2 linked regions of the Oreochromis niloticus genome follow. The protein of the gene in region 2 interacts with the protein of the main gene of each other region in a biochemical or structural test. Links are inferred from orthologs where the notes say so. Each region holds a gene or a part of one and is shown on either strand. Other genes may lie near its edges.

What was found.
Region 1: the proteins of rxraa (region 2) and nrip1b form a complex in vitro, tested with the Homo sapiens proteins (2 studies listed by BioGRID). The link is inferred for Oreochromis niloticus from reciprocal best matches to the Homo sapiens genes RXRA and NRIP1.

Annotation. Positions count from the first base shown.
Region 1 is NC_031975.2:3,168,519-3,175,964, forward strand, and holds the start of nrip1b (nuclear receptor-interacting protein 1), read left to right. Parts: upstream 1-4,361; 5' UTR 4,362-4,698; intron 4,699-7,446. UniProt on the Homo sapiens protein: Modulates transcriptional activation by steroid receptors such as NR3C1, NR3C2 and ESR1. Also modulates transcriptional repression by nuclear hormone receptors.
Region 2 is NC_031972.2:29,164,192-29,172,517, reverse strand, and holds the start of rxraa (retinoic acid receptor RXR-alpha-A), read right to left. Parts: upstream 3,231-8,326; 5' UTR 2,930-3,230; coding exon 2,695-2,929; intron 1-2,694. UniProt on the Homo sapiens protein: Receptor for retinoic acid that acts as a transcription factor.

The DNA.
Region 1 (7,446 bases), on a different chromosome or scaffold from region 2:
ACAGCCTTCTAGAAGAGGCCGTGGTTATGGCACAAAAAAAAAGTCTGAAATCGGAAAAGTTTTCACTTTTATTGCTTCCTACAGTTGAATATTTAAATAATATCGTATTTCAAAATGACAGCTCAGCACTTTTGAACACACTAAAGAAGACACCACGTTAACGAGACAATAAAGTCAGTCTTGTAAAACAGCAACTTCCATTTCCTAATGTCTTTCAAACACTTGGTAAGCTTCCTCTTTTTTTTAAAGCTTTTGCCATTTTCTGCACTTCTATTTTCCTCACACAGCTGCAACCAGTCCGTGAGTATCTGTAACCAACCTTCACCACACAATGTGTTAAATCCCATACATAAATAACATCAAGACAAACTGTTTTCACATGAGGACCTCAGACTTTTTCTTTTTTTTCTTCTTCGTCAGTCACAATCTGTCCCTGTAATTCAGGGTCAAAGGACAGAGTTTCCTGAAACCCATTTCTGTGAAAAGCTTCAGGGGCAAAGTTCAGCGGGTGCTGCTCGGCATGGAGGGGGAGGGGGAGGGAATGAAAGGGAGGATATTGTATCTCCATTTATGTGGCATTCGGGGTCAGAGTTCAAAGATGAAAGGTCACTCCAGTTCAGAGGTTACAAGGTACAAGATACCGTCCAGATTGCCGAGCGGAGCCTGCTCATCCAACTTTTGACGTCTCAACGCAATCGCGATCCTGAGCGGCACTCGTGGCGCAATCAGACAGCAACAATAAAAACAGCAGCAACATCAACTTTTTATGAATAGCACTTTGGCGAGGACTTTGCTCAGACTTTTAACTGCTGCTGTACTCAAAATGCAAATTGCAGGTAACACCTATTGTGAACAACAGCCTTGTAAAAGAAAACTATCCAATTTACCTGACTGACATGTTGAGTGCCGCCTCTGTTTATACTACTGGCAATGAACTGAATTACTGTTTAAACACCACAGTGGGGTTACCGCAGGTTAGAAGGCACAGTATCCAGCTGGCTGAATACAAGTGGCCAATAACACAGCATGATGTGATAACACAGCAGTGGGAGGAGGAGGAGGAGCAACACCCCCCAAACACACACACACACACAAACACACACACACACACATACACACATACATCCTTCTCTCTCGCTCACATTCTCACACACACACACTGCCCCCCCCAAACCTGGATTTGAAAAGGGGAAATAGAGACAGGGATGGCTGGAAGTAGGTTATGTTGTTGTGTTCTCATTCACCAGAACACTAATGTTCCCCAGGTCCTTAGAGACATTTTGTTCAAGGCCATGTTGAGTTGACAGACTGCAGGCCAGTGGACCAGATAGCACAGATTAGCACAAGATGACACAAAGAAAAGAGGGGGTTATTTGGAAGCATAAGGTGCGCAATCATTGGTTTAGATTTACAATGTTTACAATCATGACGAGCGAGAAACATTTTAAAAGTTTCCATGAGCGCATCTTCTGCTCGGCGAATGGCACCCTGCTTCACAGTCAAGTGACACACCTGGGAGACATCTCAGCATCATATCCAAAGGTGCTGTGATGCCATTTATGTTGTTCTTTTCCCCACTTGGTCACTGTGAGGCAGACAGTACAGCTCCAGCACTATGACAGTCTCATATGGAGCAACCTAATGATTTGTTTAGGGATGCTCACAACAAGGTTATTTAGGGCACTTCTTACTTAATCCTCCATCCAACTGAAGGGCTATAATTGAACCTGCTTTAGATGGCTAGATTAAGAAATGTTAGTCTTTTAGATTTACTGTAGTCTGCCTGTGAACGTGGACTGTTTCTGTTAACTCATCTAAGGGGAAGAGCAATTTTTATTCCAAAGCAAAATGTGAATGGTGGATTATCTTTTACTACAATGCTATTTTTAAGGAAAATTTAAAAAAGCACTTCCTTAAAGGGGAAATTCACCAATTTAGTGTTGCACTTTGACAAAGTAAGGAGACTTGAAGTACTTGCTTTCAGGCTCATACATTTCCTGTACTGCTAATTTCTCTCAATACATTTTAACCAGACTTCTTTGGCCACTTAAGTGTTCCAGGCATGAGCATCCAGGCTTTATGTTCTAATCTTTCTCATTTTTCCCCTTTTTCTTTTTTTGTTTTTTAACTCTTTCCCCCGCATGTCAATTCTGGCATTGCCATATTACATATGCACTTATGTGAATAACAATAGAAAATAATAAATGAGAAAGAAAATAAAATGTGGCACTCCTGGTTACAAAGAAACCAGTTTTTGTGCAGTAAAGCATAAAAGTCCCTCTTTAAGAATTTTTTTTAAATTATTATTATTGTCATTTTAAAGGACCTTTTGGAGGTTGTTATATATAGGTAAACCAGCTGCTGTTACAATTACAACTGCAACTGTTACCACTGTGGTTAATGTTAATGTAGCATTTGTTACTACAAGCATGATTCTGTCAACCCTTTGGAACAACTTATATTGATAGTATTAAATAATTAGATTACAAATTATACATCCAAATACAGTTAAATAAAACAAAGGCTTTAAGAAGGTAACACAGGCTCATGCCAAATACTGAACAAGTGGCAACCCTGAGGACTACAAAGTGAAGCCAGTGCCAAAAACTGCAGTTCTTCTAGTGACCACATGGGGCTGGCTCCAATAGTGAACCAATAGACTCCCATATTAAAATGTCCACTTTTGCAACATTAAGAAAACATTTTTTTAAACTTTATAATATGTTTAAAATATCAGGTTTAGGCTTAAATTTAGGGGCCTGGGATGTGCCACTATAAGCAGCTATTACCTGCACTTGTGTGAATTATTGAACTCGACCTCTCAGCCATATTTGCACCATGTTGGTGCCTTATGGAACATTTTTAATTGAATTATCAGGCGAATAATATGTTGTGCTGCATGGTACTGGCCGTCCACAAAGTTATTGTTATTGAAATTCTAGTGTATTAGTCTGAAACCATCAACCACCAAATCAAAAGTCAAGTTTGCGAGCTAGCTAATAACATCACTCCACCGCTTTGTCCAAGAAGGGTCACTTCAAAACGGACATGGCTGAAATGCTAACACTGAGGGTTCAATATGTAGAATCCAGTTAATATACTTGGACTAGGGTAAGGCTAGCAAGCAGCATTCATAAATTGTATGGGTGCAACAACACATACATTTATGTGCTTATTAGCCCTAAGTCACAGGCTAACAAAAGCCAACAGTGGACTTGAGATGTCGTGTTCAGTGACTTCAGTTAGTGAAGGTGAGGCCTTGCAGAAAGGCCCCACCTGTTAAAGAAAGCACCCTCACCCCTAATGCTAAGCTACAGAAAAAAGATCAAGAAAAAAATCTCCCAGCATAATAGTTACAATGGTGAACGCTATCTGCAGAGGCCAACCTGGAAAAATGGTGATTTTTATTGTAAAGTTTTAATAAGGATGTTAAACTGGGAATTGAGGCAGCCTCAAGTGGCCATTTGAGGAATTACACTCTCTATTTATATAGACATGCTGTAATAAAAAAAAAGTGAAGCAAAAATAATAATAAAAAGAATGAATCTGAGAATGGTCGCTCACTCTGTGGGCAATATTCACTTTTAAGAGAAAAGAGCTGTATTTTGTATGTAAGCATTATGTAGCAGCAGGTAATGGATAACAGGTATTGATTATTATATAACATTTTACTACAGTATGTTTCTAACTAACCAGGCAGCTCATTCTCTTTCTTTTGACAGTTCTTTCGTTAAAGTTAGAACACATTTTGGTTCAGCTTGAAGAAAAGCAGGTGTGAAATGTAAAAATGAGATCAGAGGTCAAACGTGACATGATATTTGGATGCAAGCTATAATGTGATATTTAGAATCTCCATATACCGGTATCATTTCTTATTTGTTGCCAATACAAACACGGGCAGTAGGTTTTAAAGAAAACAGGCATTTTATGAAAGTTTTCAGCCAACAAATTGTTAACTTGACCTCGAAGACCTTTGTGGATGTTGGTGGAAATTTTGGATTATTAACATGACCCCACTCCACACACCTACAAAGTTTTATCAGCATTTATTCATAACTTTTTGAACATTCTTTTTTAAAGTAAGACAGAATGAGACGTAACCAAAAAGATCCCCTCCTTGGTAGGTCATTTTAGCCCAGCTCATTCTTAATAATTTAAATGATTAAATAATAATCTGCTAATTAAGCATTTCGATTGTATGTCCCTTGGTGTGAGACAAACCGTAGGCGGTGTATATGACTTAGTTTAATATGGAAAAAAACAGCGTTAAGACCATTTGCTGTACATCTAATGTTAAAAAGCGCTTCCTTCTTGGCAGAGGGAGTATGTGGGCAGCGGCGAAGGCTTGTTCCTTTAAGGGTGGTGTCAGCGGCAGGCGGAGGAGGAGGAGTGTAGCTGTCTGCGCTCACTTCTCCACAGCGAGGGGACTCCGAGAATAAACAATTTCCACAGAATACGCGCTCCACACCTCGGCTCGCTCACAGGCGCAGCATTAATTTGTAGAATTAAAAAATCATATCAAATCAAAACGAGGCTTATTAGAAATTATTTCGGACTTGATTTTTTCCTCCCTCGAAGCCTGCCTCGCCATTTCTGCTTCCTGCCAAAAGTGTCGCGACCGTTTTCATTGGATTTGCCTCCTCCTGTCGAATGATAACGATGCGCCTCTCCGGCTGACTGTGGGGTGGACGAACGCAGGTAAGGGAATCTGTACACGAGCGCACTGTCACGTCTGGACAATGTTATTATTATACTGCTGCGGGTGGAAACGTACACGGGTGCGCGTATGTCGGGCAGTGGTTAGATCGTGCGCTTTTTTTCTCTGTGTGTGTGTGTGTGTGTGTATGTGTGTGTTTGTGTCGGGGATCGGTAACGCTGTTCGTGTGTCGCACGGCGGCCAGGGGCGCTTATGGATGTGTCGCTGAAATCGCTGCATAAAGAAGCGGGGGATAAACCTGCCCGTGTGGCTTTCCATTTAGCCGCACAGCCGCTCAGTGACGGTAGCCAGTGCCCGTATCCTTCGGATCAGTGGCTCAAATTAGGCCCACGATAGAGGCATTTCTCTATAAATGTTTCTCCCCATTCACGCACACACCGCCTCTGAATCTCCTGAAACCCTCCTGCTAATTTTCACAGTGTATTCTGGGCTGTCAGTCTGCTTGGCAGCACGAACACCGAATGACTAATGTCACCCGTTGGCTTAATTTAATAACAGTGCGCACCGTCTTCTGCTTGGAGCACGGCAGCTGTAATGTAACGTTAGTACAGTTAATGTAGTTCATCACGTCGGGTCAAAACACTGCACAGCCCCCCATCTTGTAGTTTTAGCACCACCAAAGGGAAACGCTTCACAGTTGCACCGGTGTGTAGATTACAGTTGGCAAGTCTTAAGGGATTTTTAATGGCCCTCCGAGCGTAAAGGGTCTTATAGTTGACTCATATGTGATTGTTTCAAGGTGTTAAAAGCCACCTGTGTCCACTGGGTGTAAAAATGAATTTGGGTTGAATATTCATTGAGAAAGACTTTGCATGTGTCACTGCAGTAGCACTCAGGGGAAAGCAGGGACAGTGACACTAACCCCTGAGCATGTACAGTAAACACAGTGTAGGCGAAGGTTGTTAAAAATGTTGCAAAGCAGTGTTGCTACAACAACTTTATTACACAGTCAGAATCAAGGTAATGCTTTTTTTAATGCACTCAAAAAGGTGCGCACTTGATGTGTGGCTTAGTTGGTGATTCCCATTAATACTCGTTGTTTTTTTGCTTGTTACTTACACCACCTCTGAAAATGTTGAATACCTTTACCCTCCCCAGGGTCCTTTGATAGAGATTAGTCTAGTCTGCAGACTAAAACACCCATCATTTCAAGTTGGTCTGTTGCAGCCTGTCACATCACCTGGCCGTCATGTCAGATGTGTTTTGATAGATCTCAAAGGCTTGGATGTTTTCTCGGCGAGAGTTTCTGAGTGGCCTTTATGTAGGTGTTCCTTTTTTTCACAAATATCTTATTGCTTCATTGGACTTTGGATCCGTGTGGAGGCAAAAGGTCAGGGGCTGAAGTTTTCTGAGAGTTACCGGAAAGAGGGCAGAGTACAAGCTGCAGTTCAGCTTCTGAAATAACCTGTTTGGATGTTGGAATATGAGGCTTTTTAAAAAAGGTTCAGTTAATTTTCTGCCTTCCACATAACTGCTTAGGCTACCAATCTAAAGTAACGCAGAGAAGAGTCAAACTTTCTTAAAGCCTTCTAAATACTGCCTGTGTCTGGGGGTCTGTCTCTTAGCCTCTCTTTTGTTGAACATTTAAGCTGCTTAATTATTTGACCTGAACTTACACAAGATGTTCAAGGTAGTTCAACTTGTCCTCTGTTGCCACAGATAACGTAAAACCTCCACGTTTATAGCCCAACTTTTTAAGTTGTGCTTTGTGAGTGTTTGAGTGTCTGGCCTGCGTGCTGTAATTCAAAGGATCCTCTGTGTTGGACGGGGCTTGATTTGACTCTGCCATCTGCTGTTGTCCCGGGAGCTGCTGTTGAGTGATGTGCAGTAGCCTGCAACAGAACCAGAGGACATTCAAATGGCCAAATGCAAATGATGCCGAGGCTGCTCAACAGTCACAAGACTGGACTCTGAACTCTCTCCTCTCTTGTCCACTGGCTGCCTTTCATTACTGCAGAATCTTATCTGCCATCAAAACACTGCTGCCGCCGCCGCCGCTGCTGCTGCTGCTGTATGAAAGTGGCAAGTTTTGACATGAGAGTGTGTGTGTGTGTGTGTGTGTGTGTGTGTGTGTGTGTGTGTGTGCTCTTGCAGGTGTGTTCTGCACATCTCTTTTGCACATCGTGGAAAACACAAAGTAATTTCAGAATCCCCCTGCTTGTTGCTACTTTGTGACTTTGAATTATGTAAAGGAGAAATCGCTGTAATAAAATGTATTTTTTTTCACAGGATGACTCCACAGAGTACTTGCCCAGCCACTTACCTCTACTAACAGCTTCCCTAACTACTGCCACTGTGCCAGCTCAAACTCTTACTGTTTGGAAATCTGTCATAGACCACAGCACGAGCACAGGGTGGACAGAAATTGAGAGTGGCGTCCGCTTTTTGATTGCTGAGATACTCGGCAGCAAGAAAAAAAAAAAAGAAAAACTAATGTGCAATCTACCAGAACAAGTGTCATGCATTTACTGCAGAGTTTTTGATTTATTATAGACCTGGGAGATGCCCAGCACTTGTGTTGTTGGCCACCGAACATTGTTCAAGGGCACTTTGACAGTAGATGTGAGGAGCAGAAGTGCATTTCTCATCTACTTACAGGCCCGCGCTCTTGTCGGCCCACTGAGGATTCAAAACCAGACACCTTTGGGCCACAAACTCATTTCTCTAATTGTTTGGGCTCCATAATGCCAGCGCGGGGCGTGCATTAAACCAAATCATTTTATTGTTCC
Region 2 (8,326 bases):
AGGCCATGAAGCTGTGGCTGGATGTGGCTAGGTGCCAGCTAAGCCACAGATTACTGGCACTATTGCTAACAGTGCCCCGGCTGCCAACACTATGATCTGCTGTTATGGCCTAATTGTTGTCTTTAGCTCTGAGGTGATATACCATCTCTCCCTGGGAGCTCCACGCAGCGCACCAACCAGCTCGTGCACAGAGGTGCAGTTGACTGAGGTTGGGCCAAATTCTTATGTACAGATCATTTCACACACTACTGTAACTTTCTGGTCTAACCTTTAAACAAGGCATTTCTGAAGAGTGTGAAGCAAAGCCAAATGCAACTGGTTGAACAACCTGAGAAATTACAAAAGGAAATGTGAGCATCAAATTTAGTTTAACATATTTTTCACTGGGTAAAGACACACTTTAGAAACCTTGCTCCATGCTTAGAGCCTCATGTGAATGCCACTCACCCTGGTGACTGAGCGCACTTGGAAAGTTGGAAAGTGTTTTCTTTAACCTACTAATCACCAGGCTTATCCTTCCCATATTGCTTTATTTAAGTATGGAATTACTTGGTGGCTGTTTGTCAACTGCACTGTAAATTCAGTCATGCTCAGTGATTTGCTTTACTTGAAGAAAGGCAAACACACTGGAAGTACTACCTATAGCAGGTAGCTTTATTTACACACCAAATTCATTTACACACATTTCTCACTGTGAGGAGAAAACTAGTACACCAAGAGAAGGAGTAAAAAGGCCAAGGGCACAAAGAATGAAGGCAACACAGCTACTGTGAAGGAAATGTACTCAACAAATGAATGACAGCCAGCATAGTGACTATATCTCACTTGCTGTGCTTTGGTCAGCGGCTTATGTCATAGACGGCAACTGACAATAGTGGTTGATCAAAGACATGGCATTGAGCGATAATTACTTCTGCAGCCTGCAGAGCAGCTGTCGGGTGAAGAAGATTACACTGCAACTGATGTTCTTCGGCTCTGTTTGAGTATTCATTACCACAGCAGCTTAGTAAGTCAAAAGAGGTCAGTAATATTCAAGACAGTAAAGACTGACAGGCTTTTTGAATGACCCTAATCAGATAATGTGGAGGTTTTGGAGGCGATTCTTGAAGTTCGCAGACAAAAGATGATGAGAAAACATTACCTTTACCACCTGCTTTATTATATTATAAATCTCTATGATTAAGATTTGCAAAGCAAAAAAAAAAAAAAAAGTATTTAAACCTTTTAAGGACATTTAAGGTTTCATGCCCAAGACTGCTATGAATACATGTAACTGGGGAAATACAACACAGCCAGGAAGCTTCTGATTCATTGAACTTCCTCTTTTGTTGAGCCCAGAGATGAATATCACAACACAGGCCCTTATCGGACTTGCTCACTGCCAAAACACACTTGAAGGCGCACGACCGAGTATATACTTACAAACACAAACACAGAGAGATAATGAGCTGACAGCAAAGCACATGACTGAATGCAATTTAGCAAGACCAGGTACAAAGAATCAGATCAATTTTTTTTACTTTCATATCTAGCTGGGCATAATGATTCATCATTCATTATTTCAAACAAGGGTCACGTTTCTGCAAGGTTACGCTTATGAAATAAAATGAAAATGGTTTGTGGAACGACAAAGAAAGAAAAACACTAAAACAAACCTTGAAAATTTTGCATGAAGTACATACATATATATATATATATATATTTAGACTCAGAAAAATATTAGAGAACAAAGTGGTTTATTTTTGCGCATAGACTATAAGAGGGGCCTAAAAGCACCAGTGTCAACATTAAAAATAATAAATGGTTGCTCAATGATGCCGTGCAACTACACAAACTAAAGTTATCTGAGGTCTGTGTGGCCAGTATTTCTTTTTAAGAACACTGCGAGCCACACTACAAATAATAAAGTCATATAATTAAACCAACTAAACAGCTGAATGGATTTCTGTATTTCACCTTCAGGCTAGTCAAAAACGAATCCAGAAACTTTAACTGATCTTTTTCTGCAATTTCTGCAATAAAAGTCAGAAAAAAGTCATCACAACTAAGTAAATAATAAAGAGCAGTCTTTAAAATGTCAATACAAACACCATTAGCAGGGAAAATAAATGTAAATGCACAAGATTAAAAAAAATACAGCATTATATGTGGAGGAGTGGAAGTGAAATTGTTCCACAAGGTGTGTCTTGTATTGACGTTGGAGTCATAAAGCCATCAGTGACTGATGACTAATTATACCAATTACCACGATGGCAAAAACAAACTGTCCCTACCCTTTGGTGACATCAGGATGAGGAATTTGTCACTTCCTAACGTGTTTGGAGACAGTGGGCGATTGACGACTTCCATTTGTGTCAAGGAACCACTGAAACACTTCAAAAGCTGAACACTGTGTGTCTAGGCTCTGTTTATGTGGCTGTTTACTCTCTGCAACACCTGGAATTAGCCCAAGGCAGATGTTGACCCATACAGAGCCTTATGTCCACCCTCCCTGCATTCATTTGCCGAGTCAGTATTCAGCCTATAAAAATGGTAATTGTCCTCTTACACAAATCTAAATACAAAAATACAAAAGTATATGGTTCACATTTAGTTCTGAGACACAGAATCAACACCAAAGCTTTATTTCCCGCCCCAGCGGAAAGATTAAATATACTGACTGTATTACAAGCCTTTTAGATGTCTTCCACCCACCTTTTTTCTTCTTCTCATTTTTGCCCTTATAATTATTATTCTTTTGTTGTAAGCTGTGAGGTGCTGGTCTGTTTGTAATGAAATCCAAATGGAGAAGGAGCTGGCTGCTGGCCGTAAGCTGGAACTGCCCTACTCCCACCCCCCACTCCTTCTCCTTCTTCCTCTGGGAAACAAGCCAGAGATGAAGGGAACGGGAATGATGGGTAGAGATGGACTGATCGATGGATGAACACATAGAATGAGCGCTAGAGATTCATAAATAGATAGCAGAGATTCAAATGGGGGAGGAAAACAAAGTGCGAGAAAGTCTCTCAGAGAAAGCTTAAAACACTGGGGGCCGCTCGGAGGGTGATGGGAAACTATGTGTGTACGTGCTGCAGGAAGAGGCCTCGCAAACTGGGTGGGAACACACGCGCTCCAATAAGACCAGAGGTTGTATGTCCTGAAGAACACGCATGTGTGTTCTGTCAGTTCTGTCACTGGAGGAGTGTACTTTGGATCAGTGCATTGACTCACCGAAAACAAACACAAAATTCTGCAGGCCAGAGGATCGGAGGCACGCTGTATCCAAGACAAACAAGCAAAATCATGAAAATATAGTTGCATTGACTGAGGCCCAACCTTACCACCCCCACGCCTCCATCCGCCCCCTTCTCTTGCTCTATTGCACACAGACAGTCTGTCCAGTACACACAAAATCAATTACCTTTTGGCCCATTATTAACAAAATAAGTCAGATGGACAACTCAAACAGCTTGTGTCAACAGCGTAACGTTTCTCCCCTGAATGCTTTATTTCAAACCAACAATTAATTCAGCTGCCAAGTCCCAAAAGAGCTGCTTAGTGACACTGCTGGTTCTAAAACTCATATTTTCTTTAAGCAAGTGAAAATCTAAACACTGCCCTGTGTAGCAAATTTGCTCCAGAAGAATACAAGCGACAACTTTGGAAATTTCATGAAAGAGACAATTGTTCTTAAATCAAGGTGAAAGCCAAGCTGCTGTCATGGCCATATGCTATGTTTTTGTCAGCCTATTAGCAAGATTTTGCAAAGACTAATATGCTGAATTTCAATGTCATGTTGGAGAGGTGGACTACGTGCAAAGAAAGAATGCATTAAACCCATTACCCACAAAATGATTTCTCTTCAGGTATCATTAAGATCTGTGTTTTTGCAGTGTAGACCTTTGCAATCTGCATCTCCAACAAGTATTTTCTGCTAGAAAGGAAGGATCACATTTGATTTAAAATGTCTGAGCCTGGAGAGATGATTTTCAGGAAGACGCTAGATCAAACAGGGACATGGCTCATGGCTGAATTACCAGCATGGGCCATTTTTCATGGGGTCAGGAGAGGTTGCAGAAAAAAAAAAGAGAAAAAAAAGAAGAAAGCACAAACATGGTCAACTGAAGCATCTTGAGTATTTGCAGGTCCGTAAGTGGAGCTGGCATATATGTGGATCAGAGTCTATAGATGCATGTGTCTTACCCCTCCCCAGTGCACATGCTTTCACATTTAATTTTTCCCCATACTTCCTCTCCTCTGTTACTGTTTCCTTCAATTTCTTTCCACATCTTTTATTCTGCCTTTGCTGCTCATCACAGGGACTCCCCAGAGGTGGAGGATAATCCCAGTTCGGAGCAGCAAGTCTTTTATGTCCTGGGAAGACACACTGGTTAGAGTGCTGCCAGTTCTTTTTCCTCTCTACTGATACCTCGATCAGCTTCCAAGCCTTGCTGTCTCCCGCTCTCTCTCTCTATTTCTTAATGTTTGTGCTTTTGAACATGTTCTTTCATTATAAAACCCATTTCTTTTGCCAGGGATGCGGTTACCACTACTAGCCTGTGTTTACACAGAATCAGCAAAACAAAAACACAATGGAGTCGGTTGCCTCTTGAGGTGTTGGAGAGGAATCTGCCACTGACTGATTCTATGCACTTATGTATGCTCTGCATGTTTTCTAAAGCGCCCAGTCAAGGTCATTTTACAAGAATGTAATAGAAATGACTCTAAAAGCTGTGTTCATGCAACTAGGACTATTATTTACTGTTATCAACTTCAGCAACTCAAGGCGGGTAGCTGCCCTTGGTCACTGAAGATTTATTTGTCATCCACAACTGCCCCCAAAATATATTCTTGCATATTTTCAATTGGTATACCATACTCTAGCCGAATTCTTTTCAAATCAAAATCACAAGATAAAAAAATCACCATTGAATATTTATTTTAGTCCAGGTTACAATGGACTCTAAAAAGTTCATGTTAAACAAAAAAGTCCCCAATAGAGCAACAAAACCACTAATCACACAAAGGTTGTTATTTCTCTGCCTTCCTATACATCATTCTTGGAAAGTCCAGAAGATTGTGGCTTTCAAGGAACAATGTAAAAAAAATATGCAGCCCAACACCCCAAACAATGTGTAATGTTGATGGAAAAGCCAAAGACCAGCCAAATTTAAGGGGAGTTAAGGTAAAGCAAAACCTCCAATAATGCTTGTATACAATTGCAAGTGCTTCTTTATTTCCAAGAGATTCACAGCCCTGCTTAATATTTCAGTTTTAAGTTTCAAGTTTATTCATTTATATAGCACTTTTAAAAACAACAGTTGTTGACCAAAGTACTGTACAATAACACAGTCAAAGCAGAAGACATACCAAATAAAACAGAATATAGATTAAGAAAAAAATAGAATCATGGGAAGAACAATAGACTAATGTTATGTTTAACGTATAAACATAACATTAGTGAACCATGACCTCCATCAAGCAACCAGTTTAAATTAAGTCTTGTCAGATTGAGTAGGTTACAATAGGGTCAGATATTTAACCAACAGTTTAAGCAAAAAAAGTATTGTTTTTTTAATGCAAATGTTTTTTTTCTCCATTTTGGTAAAGAAATACAATTTATATGTTTTCTTTAATACTTGTATTATTAAGGTGAGGTTTTAGTACAGTATTATAAACCGAAGGCTGAAGAGCCAGATTAAACTTACCACATAAATTCACAGGTTGCTGTCATTTTACTTTAATGAAAAGAAAAAAAAAGTTACTGTGTAAAAGCAGACATCTGATACATAATCTTGACCTTAAGAAAAAATTAAAACGACAGACAATAAACCCTTATAACAAGCTATTTGGTGAAGCACAAAGACTTTTTCAAAGCTTTCAGGAATTTGTTTGCATTTGGCCAGTGCAAAGAAATCTGAATGGCATCGACTGACAACACTGCAGCAGTTCTTAAGTGACAGTTGCTATATGTTTTTTAACCAGGCTTGAAAAAGGAAAATCTTTGTAATAAAATAAAACATATACATGTTGGAAAAGCTAAAACATGTGATCCCTTCGACTAGTCTCAGGTGTACACAGAAACATGGGAAAAGTTTTCAGGCTTTCAGGCAGAAAATGAGTAATTCTTCCACTCTTACCACCGAACAATGATCCCTCAGTCCTATCAAAAGGTTCCTTTACTGCATGATACTTTTTTCCGATGATGCAATGATGCAACACAGATTTTCTGTGACATTTGTGCTGGGAAAGTAATTTTCGAGAAGGTCCTTTCCCCATCGCTAAAATCCATATTTCTTCTTGCCTGTGCCTCTCATGGCCTGGATGCCCGTGAATTACGTGTTGAGATTGGCTTTGTGACAGAGGCCAAATAAAGTGGGTGTTATGACTGGCATGTAGAAGCACTCTTGAGAGAAACAGGTGTCGTTCATTGGCTTACACCAATGTGCCCATAACTGCAGAGCCATGTGATTGGTGGAAGGAAGACACCACTGCTCAGAGAGGAAGCCGCTGATGCCAGGCGTGTTTGTGGGCACGGGGCAGCGGAGGTGAAGGGAGAGAGGGAGGATGAGGAGGGAAGAGGGCGCCGCAAAGAACAGACCACCTGGATTACAGGCCTCAAAGGCCAGCCTGACAGAGTCAATCTGAACAACAGTGAACAGAAGACAGCCAGTCTGCTGACTTCCCCTCTCTTGCATTTTCACTGGCAGTCTGCCAACAAACACATGCTGCCCAGCAAAACTTTCAAAAGAGGCTTCAGCTCGGGTTTTTCCACCAACTTAAAGGCCTTTTTTTTTTCTTTGCCCACTGAAAAGCAAAAGTAAACTGATAGAGCATACTAGGGTTAAGAGGATAAATACATTAGCTGTTGGCAAATACACTGGGATGGACCAACATTGGCTGACTGGAAACTTTTAACATACCACTCAACCCTATCACTTACAATTTTTTCTTATTTTTATTAAACAAAATTTAAATACTCACTTATACACCAAGTCTGTAGTACTGTGAAAAGTATTTGTCACTTCCTAATTTTTTTCCTTCTTTTTTAATCCATGCAAACAGTGGGGTACACCTTGGAGTCATTAGTCAGTCGCAGGACCAACCTTTCTGTAAATGAGAAAGCAATTGCCCCCCTAAACCTAATAACTGGATGTGCCTGCCTTGGCAGCAAGAACTGCAATCAAGCATTTGGGATAACAGACAATTAGTCTTTCACATTGCTGTGGAGGAATTTCATCCCACTCTTTGTAGAATTGTTTTAATTCAACCATATTGGAGGGTTTTCTAGCACCACTCTCAAACCTTCATTTGGTTTTGGGTTGGGTTTTTTTTAGTGATTCAGAGGTATACTTGCTGGTGTGTTGCAGCAAATCATTCAGGTACATGTTTGACTGTTGGTACGATGCGCTTTTAATTTTAAATGCTGTGTTAGCTTTACACCAGACGTAACAGGAATAAAATCTTTGAGTTTTGTCTCGTCGTCAATAGAATATTTTTCCATCTTGATGGGAACCACCAATGTTTTTTTTTTTTTTTAGCAAATATGAGATTCATATTTGCATTTTTTTTTTACCTCTTTTTGATTTCAAGAATTATCAGAATCCAGCAGTGTTTTGTTTTTGTCATTTTTGCCAAATCTCTAATTGTTAAATCATGAATTCTGACTTTAACTTAGGCAAGTGAAGCCTTCACTTTTTTAGATGTTGTTCTGGGTTCTTTCGTGACCATTGAGACATTCTTTGGTAGGCTGGCCACTCATAGGAAGGTTCACCACTGTTCCAAGTTTTCTCCATTTGTAGATAACGGCTCTCGCTGTAGTTCGCTGGAGTCCCAGAAATGGTGTTATAAACCTATCCAGACTGATAAATGTCAATGACTTTGTTTCTTACCCGTTTTTGGATTTCTTTAGCTCGTGGCATGATGGGTTGCTTTTTGCGATCTTTTAGCCTACTTCACTTTATCGGACAGGTTCTATGTACGTGATTTCAACACGTCTGTGACTAGTGAAATTGAACTCAGCTTTCCAAGAAACAAATGTGGTTAGCTTTGATTTAACAATAGCGGCAATTGCTTTTCAAGGTAGGGCTTGGGCCCTAAGTAAGTTTGGAGCTTTATTCCTTTAATAAAGGAAATCATCCTTTAAAATCTCATTTTGTATTTACTCAGGTCATCATTGTTTAATACTAAAATTTGTTTGATTATCTAAAACATGTTAGTGTGACAAGTATGCAAAAAATAAAATGGCACTGTGTATGAGGTCTTAGTGTATTCATACTGTTTAGTGTCCATGTGGGCTTTCACACATTAATCAGCCTGTAATTTCTACAGACTTCGCCCTTTACAC